Nothobranchius furzeri: one gene and its partners. The protein of the gene in region 2 binds, or shares a complex with, the protein of the main gene of each other region. Links are inferred from orthologs where the notes say so. Each region holds a gene or a part of one and is shown on either strand. Other genes may lie near its edges.

Region 1 (6,364 bases), on a different chromosome or scaffold from region 2:
TTCAGCGTAGATTTAAAAAAAAATCTTTCACATTGCAAGAAGGAAAAAAAAAGCTCCAACTTAAACAACAAGGCATTTTGAGAACCACTAACCACATCGCCCCTCAGGAGCGATAAAAACTTTATAGGAAAAGTTTACCAATTTAGTTTTATTATCGGTATTTAACCAGAAAATAGTTCAGATCTCCGACTCTGGAAAACTGGATCGGAGTCCACTAAACTAAAAAGACCTTTTCACCCAAATGTTTCTGTTTTACAGGGTATCTGCAGGTTTAAGGGAGCCAAATTTAAGACTTTTTAAGACCTTTTTTAAGGCCACTTTGACCAAATTTATGCTATTTTTTAAAATTAAATTTCAGTTATAATTTCCAGCTATTGCCTGGAACCGGTGCTAACCACGTCATGAACGTGGGATTAACCATCCAGTTACCATTAATGTTGCACCTCCCCATGGCGCAAGCTCCCACTAACATGCTCCTCTAAAAACAGCCCCCTTTCACAACCAACCGTATCTGTACAGTTCCGCTTACGCCAACATCATACACAAAAAATCCTGAGCTAACTAGAAATTCACCAAAATTTTATAGAAATAAAATAATCTTGTTTATTGGGTCTTTGGTAATTTAAGACCTTTGGAAACTGTATTTAAGGATTATTTGTCATTTTTAAGGATTTTTAAGGCCTTAAATTTGGAAAAGCAAATTTAAGACTTTTTAAGACTTTTTAAGGACCCGCGGATACCCTGGTTTTAGGAGTCAAAGGAGTCATTTTTGTGGGGCATTTTCCGCCATATTGCTTGAAAAGCTCCTGCTGGTGCTGGCAACCGATTCATTTCCTGTGAAGGACTTGAGACATGTGCAGGGTGTCCCCTGACTGCTGGACCTGACACCAGCTCCCTGCTCCCCTACTGAGGAATCGGTGCTTCAGATAAAAAAAATAAACTCTTTTATAGAATAATGACATTTATTCAAAAGAAATATGTAAAAAACACAAGTTTAGTCTTAACTAAAGCTTGAGAGACAGGCAGACCCCGCCCCACACACACCCACACACACACACACACACACACCTTATTGGATTTCACCCATGTACAGACGTTTATCACTGGAGCCAGACAGCACTGCAAAGACACAGAAAAGAATAAATGAGTGACTTTTTCTTGTGTTTGGTTCCGGTTCCTGTTCTGTCGCTCACCTATGGGCTCCTCTGGGTGAAACACCACCTCGTTAACAGAACCGGCGTGGCCCGGCAGCTTGTAGAGGATCCTGCGAGACGTGGTGTCCCAGATGTACACAAATCTGTAGCAGACGCACAGAGCGGGGAACAAAAGTGGCTCTCAGTGCCTTATCTTTACTCCGTTTGGGTTTAAAAAGTCACCAAAGCGTTTCTCACCGATCGGCTGATCCTGCGGCTACTTTACTGCCATCAGTGGACCAGGAGCACCTCAGCAAGTTCTGAATAAACAGGAAAAGAGGACATGAGAAGAACACAGACCCGGAGCTTTCACAGCTAAAAAGCGGTTTTCTTTAGTCCAGATATGTACGACTTCTCAGATTGACCTAGAAGTGAATTGTTCATTTGTCTGCTAGTGAAGATTACCTTTTCAAAGTTGTGAACATTACCCTGGAAAATCTTCACGCACCTCTCCTTGGGTGCAAACGGCCGCACGTCCCAAATTCGCACTGCAAAGACACGCGAGACTCTTTGAGGGATGCGATTCAAGCACAGATGAGCAGGATCAGAAGCCGAGCATACCAGTGTTGTCCATGGAGTTCGACAGAAGGTATGACCCCTCGGAGCTCAGGCTGAGCCCGGTTACAGAGTCCCCGTGTCCATGCATGTTGTAGATCAGCTTGTTCTGTCGCAGATCCCACACCTGAGCAACACAAAGCTTTCAGATCAACGACCAGGAGAGAATTTTAGGCTGGAGCCGATTTGTTGCCTTCGACATTTCACATTTTTGCAACAATCAACAAAAAATAAACTTGCGTTTGGAGTTGAAGCAAACAAAAATGTAAACAACCAAGGGCTGACAATAAATCTCACTGAACATCTTCAGTCAATCAACTTTAAAATGGCTGAAACAGAGCATCACTGCAACCATCTGCTGTTGTTAAAGGGATTAAAATGTTTAGTCTGACTTTCTTCAAGATAAACAGTTTAATGAGTCCCTTTAAGAAAAACTGTTTTTTTAACCTTGATGTCGTTGTCGATGCCTCCAGACAGGATCTGATCACTGGTGTCGTTAAACGTCACGGCCAGAACCTGGTAGGTGTTCTGAAAGGTGTGGATGGCTCCTTTTTTGCGGATGTCCCACAGCTAGAAAACAAAAAACATCAGGCTAAACAAAACGTGCAACAATGTAGGTGTGTGTGAACGGTGTGTGTTGGACCTCATTTTCACAGCAAAACACCCAGAAAACAGCCTGACCTTGATCGTCCCGTCGTCGCTTCCTGTACAGACCAGCTGAGGACCTCGGCGAGCTGGATAGCAGGTGTTAACAAAGGAGGTGTGTCCCTTCAGACGTTTGACCCTCTCACCTGTCTCGCTGTCCCACACGCCAACAGTCTTGTCCGTGCTGGCTGAAAACAACAAGCTGAACCACACAGACACCTCTGTATCACACTTCTGACTCAAGTTCCGCAATAATCCACCAGATATTAGTTGATCATATTCCACCGTCTCTACCTGCCATCTGTGTTATAATGCAGCTCCATCACCGCTCCGCTGTGACCCTTCAGGGTGGCGTAATTCTCACAGTCTCCATACACGTTCCACAACACTGCAGCATGGTAACAGAGATTTTAAAGCGGTTTTAACAAACATATGTCTGCTACTGTTTGACACAAACTTACATATGAGTCTGTCGAATCCTGAAGAGGCCAACACAGCTCCATTGGGGTGAAACTTGCAGCAGTAGACCTCCCCCTCATGGCCAGACATCAACATGATGGGAGCCTGCATGCTGGAGGTGCGTGGATGGCCCTATGGGGATCAGTGATTTAGGTTTGCAGCATTATGGTGCAGAAACAACAAGTGGTACTTTACTTTAAATGCATACGAGCTGGATGACTTGCTGAGATCTAGCAAAGAGAGTGAAGTAAATGCTCCCTTTAATCATGTAGGAGCTGGAAGTAGATCCTAATTGCACCAGTGGCAATTACAATCTGGTGTTTCCTTAAGCTTGCATTATGATAAAAGGTGATATCTGTGTATATATATTTTACCTTTGATGCACAAGTGAACTCTGATCATCTTGACAGTTTATTTATTTATTATATATGCTTTGTTATTTGAATCAAATATTAAAAAGGAAGGCTGTTTTAATAATAAATATTGTTACCAATAAAATACATAATTACAATAACCAACACGCTCTTGAAAATAGTTTTTTTGCATATTGAATTCTATTGTCAACTATTCTGATGTTTACATTAATCATGAAAACGTGACTAAATCTGCTTACATGGTCCGGTTAATGAATACATAAGTCCCCGGCTAGCATAGCTTGCCCTTTTCTCAAACTTAAAAACATAACTACTATAAAGGTGGTAAGTATGATTTAATCTTGAATGTAAACGCAGTCGGATGTCACCAGGGCTACGTTACCGTGGCCACGAGCTGCTGAGACTGAGCCGCCGCTACTAGCTCCATCCGTGGCCGCTTCAGCGCAGTGGGAACCATCGCCATGTCTCCGGGTCTCTTTAGAGGTTCAATCATTGCGGGGAAAGTTAACAAAAAGCGGCTAAATAGAGTAAATGCAAAGCTAAAACTTAGTAAAATTAACGGACGTCTTCGACGAAAGACGTCTGAGGAAACAAAACCACCAAAGAAGACAGACACTGAAGTACTTCCGGGTTCAAAGCTCGTGATTGGTGGAAATTTGCGCAGGCTGCAGTGATTGGCTGATTTTCTTCCTGGCGTCAATTTGACCTGGAAGTATAACTAGCACAGTTTAGTCGGTGGAAAAGGTATTGCAATTATTTTTATTTCTTAAGAGTTAGAGTCACATTACGCAAAATATATTAATTATAGCACAATTGTCTGGTTTACTAATGTATCATAGAGCAGTTTAACAGGAATAGGTTAGAGGGTTTTATGTAAACACCAATGCTCGTGTTGCGTTTATCCTGTTCATGTTTCCAGAGATATTGTCTCCTATAGTTTTTACTCCGCTCGAATTAATGTAATGGAAAGTGAAGTTTGAGGTAAGATAAATCCATGTTTTGAAAATTAAAACTGATTTACAATATTAATAATTCTATTTGTTCGTTTTTGAGATTAGCCTAGTTTCTTTAAATCTGACAGCTGCAATTTTTGTCTGTGTTCTTTGTTTTTATTTATTTTTTTGTGTTTGGTTCTCAGTCTGTTTCACATGTATGGAGTGTTAGAAAATATGCAGTTACCGTTTAAATAAAATTTAGACCATGGCTGGTCTTTTTAGTCTAGTTTTAATATTATTAAACTGGGTTATTTGAGCTTAATTCTTAATGAAAACGAAGAAAAAACATTTTAATTGAAGGATAACTTCAACTGAACTTGATTTATTGCCTACTCCTGACTTGTGAAAACATAATAGTTGTCGTAGAAAGTAGTTTTATGGATTTTTATTTAATAATTTTTATTCACAATATAAATACTTAAATTTATTCTGTTACTTTGTAAAAGGAACAATATTGCTTTTATTTTGGGTTTCTTTAACTTTTCCTCGTCTTTCGTCTTTTATCTGTGTTGTGTTATTGAATTGAAATATATTTAATCCTCCAACTGTTTGCCCAGATTGAGACGATGTCCAACCGTGACCGCTCGAGTCGAGAACCAGCCGGGCTGGATGGTCTGCCTCCGATGTACAGCATCGCCAAGGGAGAGGTGGTTTCAGTGCAAACATATGGAGCTTTTGTTCGACTGCCTGGTTACAGGAAGGAAGGTTGGTAGAAGGCTGAGAGCTTGTAATCTTTAAAAATGAAATACCAGTATTAGTAATATTAACCAGCTGAGTGAAGTGAGTCCTTTAAAGCAGTAATGGATCTGTAAAAAGAAAAATAGGAGATATTAGATGACTACAGCTAACTTTATATTTTTTATTTAAAAAAAACGTTTTCATTTAATACCATATATTATAATTTTAGTAGCAGATGCAGCACTGGGAAGCATCAACGGCTAAAATAGGAAGAAGTTTGTCCCAAACTTTTTATACTTCATTATCTCTGATGATAAATTCTAATTTTAGTGGTTGCCCTAAAATATTTTGCCACTAGATGGAAAAAAGATAAAAGGTTTGGGTTCTAATTTGAGTATTTATTATCAAAATATAGGTGCTTTTTATGTATTATTCAGGTCTTAATATTAAGTTAAATTAAATTTAAGGAAATGTTTAGATCTCAGATCATCTAAACAAGAATCTATTTGTGTTTCAGGTCATTTTGGCTCAACTGTTTTTGTCTGAAATCCATTGAGGCACACTAAAAATCCTCTCTCTTTCTTTGCTCTCTCTCTCTCTCTCTCTCTCACACACACACACACACACACACACACACACACACACACACAGGTTTGGTACATGTGAGCGAGATGTCTGCCTCTAGGGTTGAAAGTGCCTCAGAGATTGTGGATGTTGGGGAACAGGTGTGGATTAAAGTCATCGGACGGGAGGTAACGCGCACACACACACACACACACACGCGCACACACACACACACACATGCTTACTTTGAATCTGCAGCAAATAAAAATTCTGCCCTCTGACTCTCAGATTCAGGGTGAGAAGGTGAAGTTGTCCTTCTCAATGAAAGCTGTCAATCAAGGGACAGGGAGGGACCTGGACCCCAACAATGTTCAAGCGGAGTGAGTGTCTACATTTGTGTATGAGTGTGTGTTTTTAACAGACCTGTTATAGTCGTGTGTGTGTGTGTGTGTGTGTGTGTGTGTGTGTGTGTGTTTGCAGGCAGGATGCAAGGCGGCGAAGGCAGTTTAGAGATCAGGGCAGCAACAGGATCACACTGGAGGCCGTACTCAACACCACATGTTCAAAATGTGGCTGCAAAGGTACTAAACTACAGATGAAAACAGATTTCACTTCAAAACATATTTTATTTACTTAAGGTTTGCGTATTAACTCTTTACGTCTTTCAGGCCACTTTACTAAGGACTGTTTCTCGGCTCCGGGGTTGCAGTACGCCCTCGTTCCTGAAGAGGACGACGAAGAGCCGCTGAGGCAGCAGACGTCGGCAGCAGCACCTCAGCAAGATTCAGAGAAAAAGAAAAAGAAGAAGAAGGTGATTACAAACCAACTTGGCACGCTCTCATGTGTCCTCGCATGTCCGTGGTTTCAGGAGAAGATGTTTAGAAAAGCCAAACTTTGATTT
Region 2 (6,069 bases):
GCACCAAACAAAACATTCACCACAGATTATTGCCGGAAAATATCTGTCATACCGGGATAACAGGAAGCTGTCCTCTAAAGGTGAAGGGGTGCACGCAGCACAGAAGAGAGTGATGAGTTGTCTGCTGACTGTGTGTCATTCCTGCACTAATGAAGGGTCTGGAATGCCAAGGACATCCCATCAGGGTCATTTGCATGGCTGTATCATTTGGCAATGTCCATAATTTTATCCCCAGAGAGGAAAATCCATCTACGAATCTTTGGCATGCATTCCCTTCCCTGTGTTGTGCCGATGTGTTTCCACCACGTGTTCCAAGCCATTCTCTCCATCTGATTGTTTTCAAAAGGGAAATAAAAACCAGGGACAGGCTGGGTTCACAAGACCACAAAATCAGAAATGCCGGGCATTAATTTGGGGGTGGGGTCACCAGTTACATTACTATCTGTTTCACAACAGCATCTGACTTCTGGGTAGAGGATGCATTTCTTGTTGTGACATTTGGATCTTCACCCACAGGAACAAACCATCCATTCACATTAGCTGCATTAAACGGCTTTTGTCCTTTTCACTGCAGCTCAGTGGTTTAAAACTGACTCATTGAACTTTAACGTCAACCAGGAGATCTGATTGGGAGTAAAAAAAAAGTTCAGGAGGGATAGGGGCTGAGTTGAAATGTGTGAAGTGATGAGACTGGACAAGATTTGTCCAATCAGATATTGGCAGGGGGACACAGAGAGATAGATCTGTGTTTGTTATCCAGATCCAGTCAGTGCATAACACACATCTTCTTAATTATCAGCTTATATGAAAAAAAAAAAGTATTTGATAGGTTTGAGGTTTGAAAACCTGGTAGGATCTTGAGGTGTTCCTGCTTTTATAAACAGAACCTTTATTGTGTGGTTTTTGAAAACCGACTAAACTAAAAGGAGCTCATAGTGAAAACCAGTCCTCCAGTTCCCCCTAGTGGACATGTTAAACATTCATGATAATTAAAAGAGGCTGACATTCATCCATCCATTTGCAGCCGCTTATCCAGAGTCAGGTCACGGGTCAGGTCAGCCTAAGCCGAGGCCCAGACTTCCTTCTCCCCAGCCACTTGGGCCAGCTACTCTAAGGGAACCCTAAGGCAGTGCCTGGCCAGCTGACGCAGTCCCTCCAGCGTGTCCTGGGTCTTCTCCAGGTTGGATGTGTCTGGAAAGCCCCTCACTAGGGAGACGTTCAGGGGCAACCTGACCACATGGTTGCTTTATATAAATATGTTCCCACTTTCCTGTTGGACAATAGTGCTTTATTTTGAAACAAATGTTACGCATATGATGTCTTGCATGTTTAGATTTGTTCATAGATTCATGAACTACTGTTCAAAACTTTCCAATAATGTGGTAGAATGTAAATGTTCTTTTGAAACAACTATACAAATAAAACAAAATAAATTGTTACTGACTTTATTTAATATAAAAACCACCAGACCTCAGATCAAACCTCTCCTCTCTCTGACTACATCACTACAGATGATTCGTGAACATATTATCTTCTCCTTATGAAAAGACAAACAATAGAAGACATGTTGGAACCACACAGAACAACCGTGGCAGTGTGCTGCTGTAGAACCGGTATGAGGCCAAGAGGAGAAACTGCACGATGGGAGAATTAGTCCACTGTGACGCCTTCAGGCAGCTCCACCACTACAGGTGCACAGTCGTCCAAATCTGCATCGAAATCCCAACGAAACTTCTTGGTTAGGTGGGTTTTGAACTTCTCTGCCTTCTTTTGTAGGATCCCATCCACACCAGGTCCAGTGGCAAACTGGAAAAAATCCTGCAAGATAAAAAGTCGATTTAATAATCCCCAATGAAGAACACCAGTTTGAGATCAAATAGAAACAAAATATGGGACCCTAATTCTTGCTCTAGTAGATTTTCCATCTTGTAGCTGCTTAAAAATCATTTTGAAAGAAGAAAAAAAAATTGAAGACAGATTTTAAATGAAAATATTACTTAAAGACCTCGTTGAAAGGATTCATGTCCCCTGCTACCTTTTATAGTTTTAAATGAAGGCTGGAAATGCTGGAAAATGATGGATATCCGGTCTGAAATGTACAAGTTGTTTGTTACATTTATAAACAATTTAGGGTCACAAGAAATAAAAACATGATGTTTGTGCCTCTAGTGACAGCTCTTTTCTGATTCAGAAACATTTTGAATATTTCCCTAACATTGTGCGTGCAGCTGTTGCACATCTGCTGTACCTGCAGCGTGCTGGTGAGGAAGTTGTTCTGTGACACAATGTCAACAAAGAAGTCAGGAGGGACTTCTCCGAGCTGGTGGTAGAGCACAGTGATGAGTCCCAGATAGAGCTCCTTCCTCCTCCTCATGGCCTCCTCCGAGCGGCACAGCAGAGCCAGGAGGCTCTTCCAGTGCTCAAAGCCCTCGTACACATTCCCAATCAAGAAACACACAAAAGCAAACTGCAGCTCACCTGGAAGAGATTTGAGATTCAGATATTTAGTTGCATAGGCATTAGGCAGTTGCATTCTTGTAACAGTGCATTAATCTTTGTGACACAAACCAAGCAAGTTTAGAGGCTGGTTCTCGTATTTCTTCTCCAGAACCCCCTCCAGGGCATAGCTCAAGTCCATGCTGCATTTCGTGATCTCAGCTGGAGTAGCCCCAGGAGGGTAGGTCTTTTTGGGAATAACTGAAAAGCGCAGTTCAGTCCCTTCTCTGTGCTTCATTTTGGGAAGCCTGTCCAGTCCCTCTTTCATGCTCTGGCAGGCCGTGTCGTTCCTCGGCTGCTCTGCCCTGTCTTTTGTGTGTCTGAACTGAAGCTCGGGGACGACATCACTGAAGGCGCAGATTCGACCCGTCAGAGGCTGTAAGTCACTGGCCAGCTTCTCGCTGATGTGATCGGTGAGAGACACCCACTTCCTCATGACCTCATAGGGATAAGGGCCCAAGAAGGGATCCAGCTCCCGCAAAGTCCCCCGGATCCTGTTCACTTCCTCTTCATTCCTGGAGGCTGAGAAATCCAGATCTTCTTCTTTGGGATCCCAGTTGGCCAGGAGAATTTCTCTTGGTTTCAGGGTGAGGAAAAGACCCGTTTTAGGACCGATTTCTCCACCACAGCTTGGCGAGTTTACAGAGCAGTAATGGAGGAAGTGTAAACCAGGGGGGATCATCTTAACACCACGAAACCGAGGACCAACCTGCCAGCTTTTGCAGTCAATCCCAAGCTCGGTGCCCTGAGGAACACCCAGCAGAACCAAAGTAGCTCCTTCTTCAAATAACGACCAAGCAACATCTGGATCCATGTTCGAAGAGCTGCTGCTGGCCATCTTTGTTTACTACTAATCTACAAACTATATTTACTGAGAAACATGCGTAAATTCTCTCAGGTGCTACGTGAGCTGTTCATCATTCAAGTGTTTCCGTATTTGAACGCGAATGCTAATTTTAGGGTTTTAAAGTATCTTATTTAAGCAGCGAAGATTATCAATAAAGTAAAAAAAACTAATTACATTTCGAAAAACCCCATTTTACGGTCTACGCGTCCACTTATAAAAACAAACTGTACCTACAGTTACACTAGTGGACGTTCCAAACAACAACGCTGCTATTTCGTTTGCCGGAAATCTGTGTAACAAAATAAATGCTCAGGGTGGAAACAGTGTCTCATTAGAACAGTTCCGCTCTTTTGCACAACTTGGCCTCCAAGTTTTTCTTAATATATCTTTTTAGAAATTTAGGTTTGGGAAAATGAAGCAATAAAAAGATTTTAAAGCAGATTTTTTTCGCAGTGGCAGAATTGATGCTGTAATCGCTTTTGCTATGTAAAAAGCCCAACAATGAGCAAAACTCGCTAAAATAAATTTATAAGACTGTTTAAAAACTATTTATTTTATGTACTCAGGATTAACATTTTCCATTGCAGTACATTTATTTTACATTGCCCTTTAAATTAGTAAGATTATATTCTGGCAAAATTTCATTATAAAATGTTTTACTTATTATTATTGTCAATATTTATGTTGGACTGTTCTATGCAATACCCATTGGAAGGAGTGATTGTGAACAAGACTGATTTGGAAATGTCGAAAATATTTCAATTGGGTTTTTAGCTTAATAAAAAAGACAGCTAGAGGCTGCGAGTTCCTCTCTTGTTAACTCAGACATGTCATGTTTTGTAATAATTTACAGGAAGTGTTTGCGCTAATTAAATTTTTGTGATTGCTCTTTCTAGTCCTCCATCATCCCCAATAAGACAAAAATGGGATGTTTTTCATAATAATAATAATAATAATAATAATAATAATGATGATGATGATGATGATAATGATAATGCAAAAAAGTTTTTTTTAATTGAACTAGACTGTAGTTCATCTCTGTGCCACCAGAGGGCATTAATGTCCCATCTCCTCTTCTCTTTTAAAAGCACCAGTTCCTTTGAATTATTAAAAAAATAATTTGCAATGGCCTTTTGGAATTATCAAAGGTGGGACTCTCTAAATACTAACTAACATTAAGAAGAGAATAATATAAATTATTTTTGTTGTTTTCTTAATATTTTTATGAAGAAAATCTGACATTGAATTCACAGGATAACACACAGAGACACATTTACGTTTGACTCACAAACACATCACATGAGACTTTGAAATGTGCATAATGCTGAATATTTGCATTTAGCTTATTTGTGGTTACAATGAAACTATAACAACATAACAAGGAGCAATGCTAACAAATGCAGAAAGAGCAAGAACACTAATGAGAACTTAACATTCATGTTTATTATCAGCTATCTTTGCAAAAAGGGTCATATCACGGTGCTGTGAATATACTTAAACTGGTGTTTTTGTGAGAAGTTACCAGTCACACCAGACCCTACTTAGATTTGTAGCTGCTCTGAAGTTTTTGCCAACAAGTAATCAGTAATTTGATTATGTTGATGAATAATTTCCTCTTCCTCTTCTTTCCTTGTATTTTCCGAACAGTTGAGCAAGAAGTTGTCTCTGTCTTAAAGAATGCAAGAAGAAACATAAGGCTTGCATTGTCAGTCATTGAAATTAAAGACTATAAACCTGAATTATTAAAGTAATTTTGCTACCAAATAAGTAGGATTGCAGTTTTGAAGGATGAGCTGCTCCATGCTCTCAACTGGCTTCTCCAGATCAGATGTCTGCTTCCCACTCCTCTGACACCTTATCTGCTGCGTCAGACCATAGATGGACACCAGGATGTGACCGACCTGCCAAAAGAAGGAAAAAAATAAAGTTGAGAATCTTAAACAAGTTTTATATTTAACAATGTTGAGGAAGATTTTAATATTTCCTTAAATGTCCTGCACTTGACAGACCTCTAATATGAGATTATCAGTACGTGTGAAGTACCCTCTCCATGGTGCTGAACCTGAAGGACGTACTGGGTCACATAACATAACAACATCAAAGACTTATTTGTAAGAATGTCTGTAAACAGTATTTTTAATAACAGCAGAAAGTTGGAAGATTAATAAATTGAACTGAATTTTATAGATATGATTTAGGTGCAGCCAAGGTGTTGGGGGGGGGGTCCATTTTTTGTGGCCTAAGGATTGAGTCTCTGCTTTTTTTTCAGATGATGTGGTCCTGTTGGCTTCATCAGAACGTGATCTCCAGCTCTCACTGGAGCGCTTCCCAGACGAGTGTGAAGCAGCTGGGATGAGAATCAGCTCCTCTAAATCCAAGACAATGGTCTTGAGTCGGAAAATGGTAGAATGCCTTCTCCAGGTCAGGGACGAGATCCTGCCCCAAGTGGAGGAGTTTAAGTATCTCAGGGTCTTGTTCACAAGTGAGGGAAAGATGGAGTGCGAGATCGATAGGCGGATTTGTGCTGCGCCTGCAGTGATCCGTGATGTGGGCGTTGTACCGGTCTGTCATGGTGAAGAGAGAGCTCAGCCAGAAGATGAAGCTCTCAAATTACCAGTCGACCTACGTTCCTACCCTCAACTATGGTCAGAAGTTTTGGGTAGTGATCGAATGAATGAGATTGTGGATACAAGCGGACAAAATTAGTTTTCTCTGCAGGGTGGCTA
Region 3 (6,119 bases), on a different chromosome or scaffold from region 2:
GCATGAAGGAAAGAACCTTGGTTGTCATCCTCTTCTTTCTCACCAATCTTCTCATCAAACTTATCACCAAACATGTCAAGCTCATCTTCTTCCTCATCGTCACTTTTCGTCTGCCTCACTGCTGGCTTCTTGCTGGTCATGCTTTTCATCACGTAGGCCAGTTTTTCATAGCTCTGCTGATAGATTTCAAACATCCCAGATCCAACCAGCCTGTCAGCTAAAGCTGTGAGCCTATCCAGCTTTTCCGTGTCTCTTGAAGCTTCCTCTGTGGACTGGTTTTCTTCTCTCAGCTTTCCCTTCTTGCGCCCTCCAAGGCCTCCTAACCGACGGAGCGCCGCGGCGACCGTTTCTCCAGGCTGCAGCAGTTCAACAACAGCTTCAACAAGCTGCTGTTGAGTGTAGGCAGCCAACGGGTCCTCTGCAGGCATCTCCTCCTCCTCTTCATCCTCCTGGTTTGCCTGCTGTTCTTCCCTTCGTTTCTCTTCCTCTGCCTCATCTTCATCACCGACTCTGCGTTTCCGTTTGGCTGCAAGACCTTTCTTTTTCTTAATAGGCTGCTCTTTTATTTTCACCTGCAAGAAAACAGATACTTCACTTACTGCAAAATGCAGAGCTTCCATTAAATAATCATTTGTCTGAGAATGCAATTACCCAGTCTATGTTGTCGAGCCAGTTGTCTCTAATTTGTGTTTCCTTTTTGATGAAATAGTTTCCCTCTGAATCAAAGTGGCCTTCCTGCATCTCCTCTTCCAGGTTGAAAGGTGTAATAGAAACTCCTTCGTCAAAGTCAATAGTCGCTCCTTCTTGGCCTGGAAACAAAGGTGGCACCACCCCAATTCACCACAAAAAGCATTTAACAAAAAACATTGCTTCACACAGCCTAAGGAAAACTGGACCCAGTTTACAACTTCAAAAGTATAATGGAAATACTTAACAAGACATACCCTCCACATCATCATTGTCAAGAATATTGTATTTGCTGTTGTTTGTGTCCTCTCCATCATCCTCTTCGTCACTGTCAAGGGAGTGTTTACCCTTAAACCTGGAGCCTGGTCCACTGACAGCCTCACAGCTCTGCAATTACAGCAAAAGAAAATGATGAACTAAATACAAAATAGCAGTATAACCAGTAAACGTAGAGTCAAAAGCAAAGTTCTGATCTTTGCATTAAAAGTAAAAATGCATTGTGTCTGAAGACAAACCCCTAAACCCATGGGTCAGTGCTGCGGCACAAGTACCACTATTACTACTTTTGCTGTAAAAAACAAAGGCATTAATGTGTCACTGGTTAAACAATTTGCTGAAAGTGATAGAAAAATAGAAAACTCAAAGATATGAGTGGTTAAAAAAATAAAGAGTCTTTAGTTCAAAAGGCAAACCACTCAGAATAAATAGGAAATGTACAATATTCTGAGAATTGTGGAAAACTGAAATGGAAGATTGTTAGTTACCATTCTTGTTGCTACTAAACTGTTTCAATAAAGTCTTTATAAGACATGCCAGCAGCAAAAAGTCTAAAATAGTACAGAGATCTGATTCAACTTGTTTAAATGGTGCATTCAGCTGCTGTATGGGATTTGGCACGTTTGAGTCAGAAATATGCTAAAGCATAGTCCTGTAAGACTGAACTGTTATCCGACTCACTTCATGTTTTGATTGTATATTGTTGTAATTGTATATCTCATTTTAATACTGATATTTTACTTTCATTTTAATATTTATTTTCTGTGCAGAGGCCTTGTGCGAGTCTACTTGCTGCAACACTGAATGTAAAATGATGTAGGACAAAATAGGTTAAAATAGGTCATACTTGGAGCCTTCGAGTTGGAGGGTTTAGGATTATCCGGGGGGGTGCTCATCATAAATTTGATTAAAAGTAATCTTACTTAAGAGCTGTGAAAAAAATCATACAAGCAAAATTCTGCTCACTACCGGAAATTTCTGAAGAACGCCTGAACAGCTCCACTCCACTGCATCAAAACAATTCATCACCCATGATCACAAAAGCTTGATTGCAGTTGTTTTAATCAGGAGTCAATCATGTTTTGCTCATAGGGCCAGGTTGCTTTGAAGAGCCTTTTTCAGCCCAAGTGCCCTCCAGTTGGGGGGTAAACAAGTGTCATAGCAAAAGGCCAAGGCCCAAAAGCTAATTCTGTTGTTTGAAAATTGAATTTTGTATTAACTCGGGTTATTTTTTAACATGTTTTTGTTTAGCTGATCTGACACGTTTATGTGTAAAAAACAGCAGAAACATTAATCTGTAACCAGGCTAGTAACCACAGCACAGAATCAGATCAGATTTCAGATTTATTGGCCAAGTAAAATTACATTTACAAGGAATTTAGCTTCGGTAGATGTTCGCTCTCTAAAACATACAACAACTACAATAAATGAGAATAAAAATACATAAAAAACACATAAGAACATGTATACACACACACGTATATTTTTATATATATACATACACACACACACACACACACACACATATATATATATATATATATATATATATATATATATATATATATATATATATATATACACACACACACACATATATATATACATATATATATACATATATATATATATATATACACACACACACACACATGTATACACACACACTCACTCATATCCATAAGCATACTGAATAAGTATAAAAAACTATAATAAAAGGATGGTAAAAGAATCTACAGATTCAGGAGAGAAATGGCTGAAGGAAAGAAACTGTTCTTGTGTCTGGTAGTTTTTGTGTACAGTGATCTATAGCGTCTGCCAGATGGGAGGAGATGGAAGAGAGTAGATGCAAGATGTGTGGCATCTTGGACAATATTCACTGCCTTTTTCCTGGTCCTGCTGATGTACAGTTCCTGGACAGAGGGCAGCTGGGCACCAATTATTTTTCCTGCTGTTTTAATAATACACTGTAGTCTGCATTTGTCCATTTTTGTGGCTGACACAAACCAGACAGTGATGGATGAGCAAAGTATGGATTCGACTGCAGCAGTATATAAGATGATCTGCAGCTCTTGTGGTAGGCCACACACACACACACACAGCAATGCAATGTAAGCATCAGCTTGAGTAAACGATAAGACTTTTATAGGTAAACATGCTAAAAGTGTAAGAGATTAACTTGGTTCACGGAAGCAATTATAATACCAAGTATTTAAGTTTCTTTGTTAGTTTTATATCAGAATGTTAGACAACTGCCTTCCGGGTTTTACCAATAAATTAGTATTAATCCAAAACTATTTAAGACAAGTCAACGGCCTGGACTTAGGGCTTCCAACTAACCACTGACACCTCCACACTCAACTCTTTCTTTATAACCTTAAATGCATCACCTTCTTATTTGGACCCTCGTCTTCCAGGTCAAACTCCCCGACCCCGTCTTCAAACGTGACTTTTCTTTTCGACATGGTGACACTACAAAAGACAATAAAGTGATTCGTTTACGGTCGCCACTGAAAGCCAGCTAAACTATCAGCTGTGCGATAATTCATCGTTATGTCATTCAAAAGAAACTCGTGTTAGCTTGTTGCTACATTAGCCAAAAACAACAACACATTGCACACGCAGAACGTTGTAAACGGATCTAGAAATCTAAAATGACGGAAAGTGACGATGCACAGCTAATATAAGCTACATCAAAACAACGATTAATGAGAAGGTAAGTATAAAGAAAACATAACGATGTAACGTGGTAAGAAGGTAAACAACCTGCTGAAAATAAATCAAGCTTCGTTCGTTTTCATTTCTTTGGTTGCTCCTCGTCATGGACTGACGCATTACCGCCACCACGTGGTGAGGAGTGGGAGCTGGCGTTCAGATTTAAACTCCTGATTAAATATATTATAAATTCTAATATGTGGGTGGAACATTTGGATTTATGTTTAAAAAAAGTATAGGGATCCTAAGTCACGCCCATCTACTTCCAGTACATGGGTCCCTGGAAGAACAAAAAAATGAATGCAACTTACTAGAACAAATAAATGTGGGTCATTAGGTCTATCTTTTCTAAGACTTTGTTAGTTAAATACTTGATTTGTTATAATCAGATCTCGTTGCTCTCTCTCACAGAATCCTGGCTGCAGCAAGAGGACTATGTTAGTTTAAATGAGTCGACTCTAATTATTGACATCATCATATTGCTCAAAGTACAAGGCGAGGAGGAGGAGTAGCAACCATTTTTCATTCAGACCTATTAATCAATCCTTTACCAATTAATGGTTACAATTCTTTCGAACATTTCACTCTTAGTTTTCCTAATCCAGATTGTAAAACGGTAAAACCATTCTTGTTTGTAGTTTTGCATCATCCACCAGGCCCTTACTCTGAGTTTTTGGATCAGATCTCTGATTTTTTTTATCTGATTTGGTGCTAAATACTGATAAGGTCATTGTAGTGGGGTGGGGGATTGCAACATTCATGCTGACACTGAAAGTGATATCCTCAATGTGGCCTTTAATCAATTGATTTTACTTAAAAAATACATAACTCCACCCACTCCTGCCATCATACATTAGACCTTGTGCTGGCTTATGGCATAGAGTGTGAGGAAATAACAATATTATCACATAATCCAGTCCTCTCAGACCACTTTCTGATAACTTCTGTGTTCATTTTAGCTGAGTTCTCTGAACATGAAAGTAAATTTCACTATAGTCAATCTCTATCTGACAACGCTGTTCCATATTTACTGTCTCAGCATCTCAGAGGAACGTAGCAGAGGACAATATTTTCATTTCTAGTCCTTCACTAATTGATGGTCTAGTTCATAGTGTAGCATTAGATTATGCTGCCCCTTTAAAAAGAAGGTAATTAAGGAAGTTGGCTCCCTGGTTTAATCTTGGTCTACAAACTTTAAAACAGAACTTTAGAAAATTGGAGTGAACATGGCGCTCTACACACTGGGAGGATTCCTACTTGAAAATATAGCCTCGTGCTTTGTAAAAATAAGCAAAACTGCTTATTTGTCATTATCTTGAAAATATAGTCTCGTGCTTTGTAAAAATAAGCAGAACTGCTTATTTTTCATTGCCAATTGAGGAGAATAAGAACAATCCTAAATTTATTTTCAGTGCAGTTGCTGTTATGCACGGAGCCCCTCTGATGACATGGCCCAAAAAATAAATAAACTGTGGCCACGGAATACTATTTTGAGGCCACGAAATACTATTTTGAGACCACGAAATAGCTATAAGCCACAAATAAGTATTTCGTGGGCACGTTATAGCTATTTCGTGCCCTCAAAATAGTATTTCGTGGCCACAATTTATTTATTTTTTGGACCATGTCATCAGAGGGGCTCCGCAGTTATGGAAAAATTCTATGTTTATTAATTCTTGACCATTGACTCAATCAACTGAATGTACGGTAAAATGTATTGCTCTATGCCTCTTTGCATGCCCACTTTTTCCACACACCCACACACACACACACACACACACACACACACACACACACACACACACACACACACACACACACACACACACAAGATGCCACCACCGCAGTGGGATCGCCACATTCACTGGGAACCTCAGATGCAATAAAACAAAAATTTAAAACATGAAAAATCTTTAAAAGCCCAAAAAGACATTTTCTACCCTTCAAAGTATTCCAGATTGATGGATACTCCTCCAGATGCTCCCACGCCATCGCTGTGGCTCCGTTGACCCAGGGGCTTGTATGAAACTCCGCTGGCTGCTCTGTGGTCCTTGCTCCAGGCCAGACAGAAATGTATGCATTCCTCCATTTAGTGTCCATCTGGGCTATAGAGCTCCGGATGTCACATGACCCTCAGAGAGTAGACGCCATGTTGGCAGGCAACAAATGTAAACAAAATTAACGGGTTCGGCTTGGATTTTACTTCGTCGGAGTTTACTTCACACTTTAAAACCGAAGAAATCGTTTTATATAGTCTGAAATTAAATAGACATCTCCGACCCTTACTGTGCCCCTGGGATACTTTTTAAAAATGCCAGAAGCTGTCGGAGCGGACTTCTTATCGGACCTGGCCGGGGAACGCCTTGGGATTCCCCCGGAGGAGCTGGCCCAAGTGGCTGGGGAGAGGGAAGTCTGGGTCCCTCGATGCTACTGCCCCCGCA
Region 4 (5,653 bases), on a different chromosome or scaffold from region 2:
GTTGGCCTTCATGATCTTGGCCATGGCCTGCTGGATCAGAGGCTTGCTTCCTGGAAACCAGTTACCATACGCGCTACAGAAAAACGAATAAAACCAAAAACATACAGTTCAGAACTCCAAATAAATCAACTGGCTGATGGAGCATGGACAGGAATTTAGGAAGCTTGTGTGGAGACTTCAAGGGCGACTGAGGAGCATTTACAAGCAGATGTAAAAATCCAGGAAACACTTCCGGCAGCCTTTTAAGATTTGAACTTCAGTTCATCTGTCATTTAACTACATCATGTGAAGTTATGGTGGAAATAAATGCAATAGTCACTTCATAATGACCCTAATAATACAAACTTAACTGATGAAAACAAGCCACACCTGTGAAGGTTGTAAGCCAGGTCGATAGCGATGAGCACTCCAGTGGGAGAGGGGTAGATACTCATGTTGTCCGTGGTGTAGTCCAGGAATTTGGCTCTGGCGTAGCGCTCAATGTCATGAGAGTCGTAGTCTCCCCATCGGAGCTGGATATCAATCCAGTATTTCTGTGTGGTGGTGCTGTCCATCACATCCCTGAGAGAGGAGGTATGCTTTTATTTCACACAAAATTAGACAAAACCATCTTCACATGTAAACTAACGTGTGAACAAACTGTATTAGTGTCATTTCTAACCTTAACATCTTTTCTGTAACAACAGTCTCAGAGACAAACATTTTAAATGTCCTACTTTGAGTCGGCGAGCAGAGACGGTCGGGAGACGTTCCACTTGTATGACGCAAAGAGGAGGATGTCTGCACAGGACGAGTTCATCTTGTAGGACTTTCTGGGATGGATGGTCTCCTTCTGCACCGTCTCAATCTCCAAAGCATCCAGCTCCTGGTCAAACACCTGCCAACCAGAAACATAACATTTACCCAATCTATCGGAACACACGACTCTCTCCGTGCGAGTTTATGGATCAGAGCCTACCTGACAGAGATCCATGACGATGCTCTCATGGATCTTCTGCCACAGGTGAGCCCTGAAGATCTGAATGAGGGAGATCTTCAGAGTGGGAATCTTGCCGTGCATGAAGATTCCCGTCAAGTCAAGCTGTACCTGGAAACCCACATACACCTGCAGAGGAAGGGAAAATATTCTGTAAATGGTTCTTAAATGATTGTTCCAACTGCTGATGTTTATACTAACGTTGGCCCGGTTGATGGTGGGCGACCACCAGAGAGTGAAGCGACGGTTGGGGATCTGGTTGAGACCAGACCTCTGAGCGTTGGTCAGCTTCTTCCATTTCATGGACTCTTCAAAGCCACTGGCCTTTTCCCTAATCGCCAGAGAAATAATAATAAAAAATCAAAAACGGTACAAAATAACAGAAAACAAAAAAACGACCATTTCACGTAGATTCTCTTTAACGCAGCCTCACCAGAAGAGACCCTCCCAGGTGGGGAAGTAGGTGCCTTTGAAGAGCGTGTGTTCCAGGATGCCCTCCACACCACCCAGAGCTTGGATCATGTCTGTGCGGTAGTTGTTCAGGTTCCACAGTTTCCCATCATGTCTCTGGTGAGTCCACCAGAATGGATTCTGCTTCAGCACCTGCAGGCAAGACCAAAGCATGACCAGGATTACACTTGTTTTCTCACAATAACGTCAACATTTTTAATGTTTTATGTACGTTAGCATAAAATTCACAATGATCTGGTATTGAGGAGCATGAATTGAATCTGCTTAAAAACACCCTAAAATGACAAAACCTTATAAATATTTAAACCATTTAACCAAAACGTTCCTTTTGAATTCACCAACACACCCCGTTCCTCATACCTGATACTGTTTGAAATCAGTCCTGACTCTCCAGCCTTTGTCATAGGCCAGAGTGTGTCTGTCCTTCTGGAAAAGGGTGTTGATCCGGGGAATTCCTCTGTCCCACGAGTCCTCCAGATCCTCCAGGGTGAGACGCCTGAAACAAACAAAAATAAACCACTAAGACTAATCACAATAAAAGTTCCTTAGATACGTAGACTAGTAGCTCAAAATAACAAAATCTGCTGAAGATGCTTTTTGCTTCATCAGGCCGATCTGATTTAGGGGTACCTGTTCTGGGCGATGGCCTCCTGCCTCTTGAGGGCGTACTCTGCCCAGACTCTCTGAGAGTCGATGAACTCACTCTCCCACGGCTGGATGTAACGATACAAGTTAGGAATGAGCTGGTCTTCCTCGTGGCTCATTCCAGACCTGAAGTGGGTGATGCCCACATCTGTCTGCTTGGACCACCTGGAGAAAGGAGCAGAATCATTAAGCCGATATGTTCAGGAATTTTTACTGTATTCAGAGACGCAGAGCTGTGTGGGACTCACCGCAGGTCCGACTGCGGGATGAGTACGTGACCCATGGACAGCATGCCGAGACCTCCCAGTTCTTTGGGGGTGTAGAAGACGACAGGAGGGAAACGACTGGGCATCTTGGAGTTGAGGCCGATCTTGATACGTGTCTGAATCTTGTTCTCACACTTCACCAACAGATCCAGGAGCTCCTGTGTGTTGACCACAGCCTCACGGAAGTACGTCATCAGGCCGATCAGAGCGGTGTTCCACTTGTTTACAATCTAGAATAAAAACAAAACACTCAGATTTACCAGACTGTTCTTCACCGTTCTGCATCTGCAAGTTGTGAGAATAAAGGCTTCCTCTAACCTTGGTGAAAGTGGTGGATCCAGAAGCCATCAGGATCTGACGCACTCTGTTGTGGAACCGCTGCATCGATTCATCATCCACACGCAGGAAGCACTGCGCTGTCCTCTCTTTAGTTATCTGCACCAGAACAAACAAGGAACTTCAGATTAATAAAAAGATAAACTGCCATTTGCATTTATGATCGATTATTTGTCACAGAAGTCACGTCCACACACTTAGGTCTCTGCCACTTCACTCTTACCTCATTCTGCAGGTTCCAGACTCCATCTTTGTGAGTGAACTCTTCGTAGCTGGTGCGACACTTGGGGAGGATGCGACACTCAAAGCCGCACATATTGAAGAGCAGGTTGGGGTTGTCTTTGCTGTAGACCGACACAAAGCTGTTCTCCCACTGGACCGTGGTCACAGATCTTGGGAGGCGGTTTTTGATGTCCCAGAACACGGCTCGCCCACTGGGGAAATGATTAATACACTCGTTTTAAACTCAGAAGGGATTTCCCTTAATAATTCAAACTGTTAGCAAACGATGGCACCAAGTGAACAAATTACTGGTTGCAAATATAAATACTTAGTAAAAACTCACAGATTGACATCATGCTTCATCAGCCTCATGCGGGCGTCCCGCGGCCAGCACTTCTTGTTGTTGTAGCCCACTATGTTCTCATTGTTGGGATCTGGATGCTCTGTCAGGTAACGCTGAATTAGATCTCTGGCTTCATCAGCAGAGAACCTGAAGAATTAAACAGTTTTGACTTTCTGAAACTCTCTGGTCGAGCAAAATAAAAGTAAAAAATAAATAAATAAAATATAACATCCTCTTCTAATTCTGGTGCCCACCTGAAGAAGATGTGTACGCGGTCGATGTAACGACAGTACAGCCTGATGGGATGGGCAGACTCTGTGGGCGTGTCTTGGAAACTGAGGAAGTCGTTGGGCATCTGAGGCGGACCGGCCATCTCACTGGCGCGGTGCAAGCCGAGCACCAGCAGGTCCATCACCAGACCGTAATACTGAACGATGAACGAAGCAAACTGGAGCCCCCTGATGATGCCGTAGGAGTTGGTGTGGTTCATGTCCTACGCACAGGACGAGACACAACAGCACATCAGGACCAGATAAAACCCTGCAGCATCATGTTCTAGAAGAGTAAACCCTGATCACCTTGTAGTTTATCACCACGTTGTTCTTGGCCGTCATGTAATCAGCAATGTTGTGGTCAACAATGAGACGGAGCAGCCTGTTGAGCAACGTTAGATCGATCTTCTCGTACATCTTCTCAAAGCGAGACTCTAGCATCACGTTGCACTCTCCCTCCGCTGTTTCCCACACATCCTGCAAGTTGTTGATGCCTGAAAATAAACAAACATGAACTCCTGAAAACTGGAGACCTTTCCTAACCATTAATTTTACTTGAATGATTAAGTGTAATGAAGTGCATTTTTATTGGGGGGCGTTACCCTGGCACCACTTGTAGACCAGCAGCGGTGGCGGTTCTGTGTCGGCAGGTTTGATCCACGGAGGGAAAAGACGTCTCTTGTCTGCTTCGTACCACAGGTACTGGTCCAGGTAGGCGTCGGTGATCTTCTCCAAAGGTTCCACGTCGTACACGGGCACCAGGTGGCTGTACAGGTCCATGAACTCAATACCAACCTGCGGAGAAGAAAATATCTCAACACTGATAGAAAACTCAAACATGGAAGGTGAAAAAAGTCAATTCACTTCTGATTATAAAAAATGATCTGAGGAATTTTAAATGTTTAGAGGAACATTTCTATGGTTTTGTACTTTAAAGCTGAAACATCAAACTCTCCAAACATCTGCACTGATTTAAGCTGACCTCCTTGAACGCTCTCTGAGTGAGTAAATGACGTTTTATCCTGGAAAGCGCCTCGTGGGGGTTGTCATAGGCCTGCTCGATCAGACCCAGTTCTTCCCTCTGACTCTGGTTCAGACGAGACTTCACACTAAAAGACACAAGGACGTCAGTTACATAAATACTGGACAAACATCAAAGCTGACAATGTTCTAAACATCTCCACCTGTAGGCCTCCTTGAGCCTCTCCAGGGCCAGGATCAACAGCTTGGTGTCGTGTTTGTAGGACAGAGGAGGGAAGGGAATGGGGGAGAACCGCCGGCTCTCCAGCCAGTGCACCGTGGTGGTGTAGATGGCCACGGCCTCTTCTGCTGTGATGTAGGGACCATCCTGGAAGTAGAAAACACACACTTCAGAGAGATACAACATCAGTGATTGGGTTAATTAGACCTGAATGCACCAGTGTCCGAACAGCGAGGGGCCAACTGCAGCTACAGCCAGCAGTAACAGAAACACCAAGAAATGATCACATCACACCAATCCTAAAATCTTTGCATTGGCTACCAGTAACTTACAGGATTGATTTTTAAAGTCCTTTTACTTGCTTTTAAATCATTAAATAGCCAAGGACCGCTGTATATAGCAGATGTTTGAAAAGTACTGCCCTTCTAAATCACTTAGGTCAGCAGAAAAATACCTATTGGTACAACCCAGAGCTCGCACCAAGCACGGAGAGTCTGCCTTTAGCTGCTATGTGGTCCGTCTCTGGAACCGTCTTCCATAAAGACATAAAAACCTCTCCCACCACTTCCATTTTTAAATCCAGATTAAAAACCAAACTTTTTTATGATGCCTTCCATTAACCTATCTGTGGTCTACTTGGTTTATTTTTTTTTTTAACCTGTGTTGTTAAATTTATTCTATGTTTTTGGTATTTATAACTAGTCTGTGCAGCTTTGTTCTTTTATAAGTTTTAGTAAAATTTTTACTTGGTATGCTTTTATTTTTGTGTACTATGTCCTGTATCAGTACTCCTTGGTTTTATTATGCATAACATGATGTGACATTTAAAGCTGTGATTGTTTTAACTATGTGAAGCACATTGGGCTACCGTTGAGTATGAAATGGGCTATATAATAAACTTGACCTGACCATTCATCTCAT

The links.
Region 1: aar2 (region 2) and snrnp40 share a complex: the UniProt entries of both Homo sapiens proteins name them as parts of the U5 snRNP complex. The link is inferred for Nothobranchius furzeri from reciprocal best matches to the Homo sapiens genes AAR2 and SNRNP40.
Region 3: aar2 (region 2) and cd2bp2 share a complex: the UniProt entries of both Homo sapiens proteins name them as parts of the U5 snRNP complex. The link is inferred for Nothobranchius furzeri from reciprocal best matches to the Homo sapiens genes AAR2 and CD2BP2.
Region 4: aar2 (region 2) and prpf8 share a complex: the UniProt entries of both Homo sapiens proteins name them as parts of the U5 snRNP complex. The link is inferred for Nothobranchius furzeri from reciprocal best matches to the Homo sapiens genes AAR2 and PRPF8.

Annotation. Positions count from the first base shown.
Region 1 is NC_091759.1:20,971,956-20,978,319, reverse strand, and holds snrnp40 (U5 small nuclear ribonucleoprotein 40 kDa protein), read right to left. Parts: upstream 3,853-6,364; 5' UTR 3,720-3,852; coding exon 3,609-3,719; intron 2,985-3,608; coding exon 2,855-2,984; intron 2,782-2,854; coding exon 2,688-2,781; intron 2,596-2,687; coding exon 2,430-2,595; intron 2,319-2,429; coding exon 2,196-2,318; intron 1,876-2,195; coding exon 1,755-1,875; intron 1,682-1,754; coding exon 1,599-1,681; intron 1,454-1,598; coding exon 1,392-1,453; intron 1,298-1,391; coding exon 1,194-1,297; intron 1,120-1,193; coding exon 1,070-1,119; 3' UTR 944-1,069; downstream 1-943. Other genes in the region: zcchc17 (zinc finger CCHC domain-containing protein 17), read left to right, coding at 4,788-4,926, 5,551-5,651, 5,752-5,843, 5,944-6,044, 6,132-6,274. UniProt on the Homo sapiens protein: Required for pre-mRNA splicing as component of the activated spliceosome. Component of the U5 small nuclear ribonucleoprotein (snRNP) complex and the U4/U6-U5 tri-snRNP complex, building blocks of the spliceosome.
Region 2 is NC_091755.1:59,902,618-59,908,686, reverse strand, and holds aar2 (protein AAR2 homolog), read right to left. Parts: upstream 3,532-6,069; 5' UTR 3,335-3,531; coding exon 2,569-3,334; intron 2,479-2,568; coding exon 2,249-2,478; intron 1,819-2,248; coding exon 1,651-1,818; 3' UTR 1,430-1,650; downstream 1-1,429. UniProt on the Homo sapiens protein: Component of the U5 snRNP complex that is required for spliceosome assembly and for pre-mRNA splicing.
Region 3 is NC_091745.1:8,819,485-8,825,603, forward strand, and holds the start of cd2bp2 (CD2 antigen cytoplasmic tail-binding protein 2), read right to left. Parts: upstream 3,827-6,119; 5' UTR 3,730-3,826; intron 3,650-3,729; exon of another isoform or gene 3,436-3,649; 5' UTR 3,429-3,435; coding exon 3,354-3,428; intron 1,075-3,353; coding exon 945-1,074; intron 810-944; coding exon 652-809; intron 573-651; coding exon 17-572; intron 1-16. UniProt on the Homo sapiens protein: Involved in pre-mRNA splicing as component of the U5 snRNP complex that is involved in spliceosome assembly.
Region 4 is NC_091753.1:37,699,233-37,704,885, forward strand, and holds part of prpf8 (pre-mRNA-processing-splicing factor 8), read right to left. Parts: intron 4,880-5,653; coding exon 4,716-4,879; intron 4,641-4,715; coding exon 4,514-4,640; intron 4,327-4,513; coding exon 4,134-4,326; intron 4,026-4,133; coding exon 3,838-4,025; intron 3,753-3,837; coding exon 3,514-3,752; intron 3,407-3,513; coding exon 3,260-3,406; intron 3,129-3,259; coding exon 2,918-3,128; intron 2,794-2,917; coding exon 2,677-2,793; intron 2,589-2,676; coding exon 2,341-2,588; intron 2,258-2,340; coding exon 2,078-2,257; intron 1,944-2,077; coding exon 1,808-1,943; intron 1,580-1,807; coding exon 1,410-1,579; intron 1,308-1,409; coding exon 1,178-1,307; intron 1,106-1,177; coding exon 959-1,105; intron 878-958; coding exon 717-877; intron 562-716; coding exon 370-561; intron 74-369; coding exon 1-73. UniProt on the Homo sapiens protein: Plays a role in pre-mRNA splicing as core component of precatalytic, catalytic and postcatalytic spliceosomal complexes, both of the predominant U2-type spliceosome and the minor U12-type spliceosome.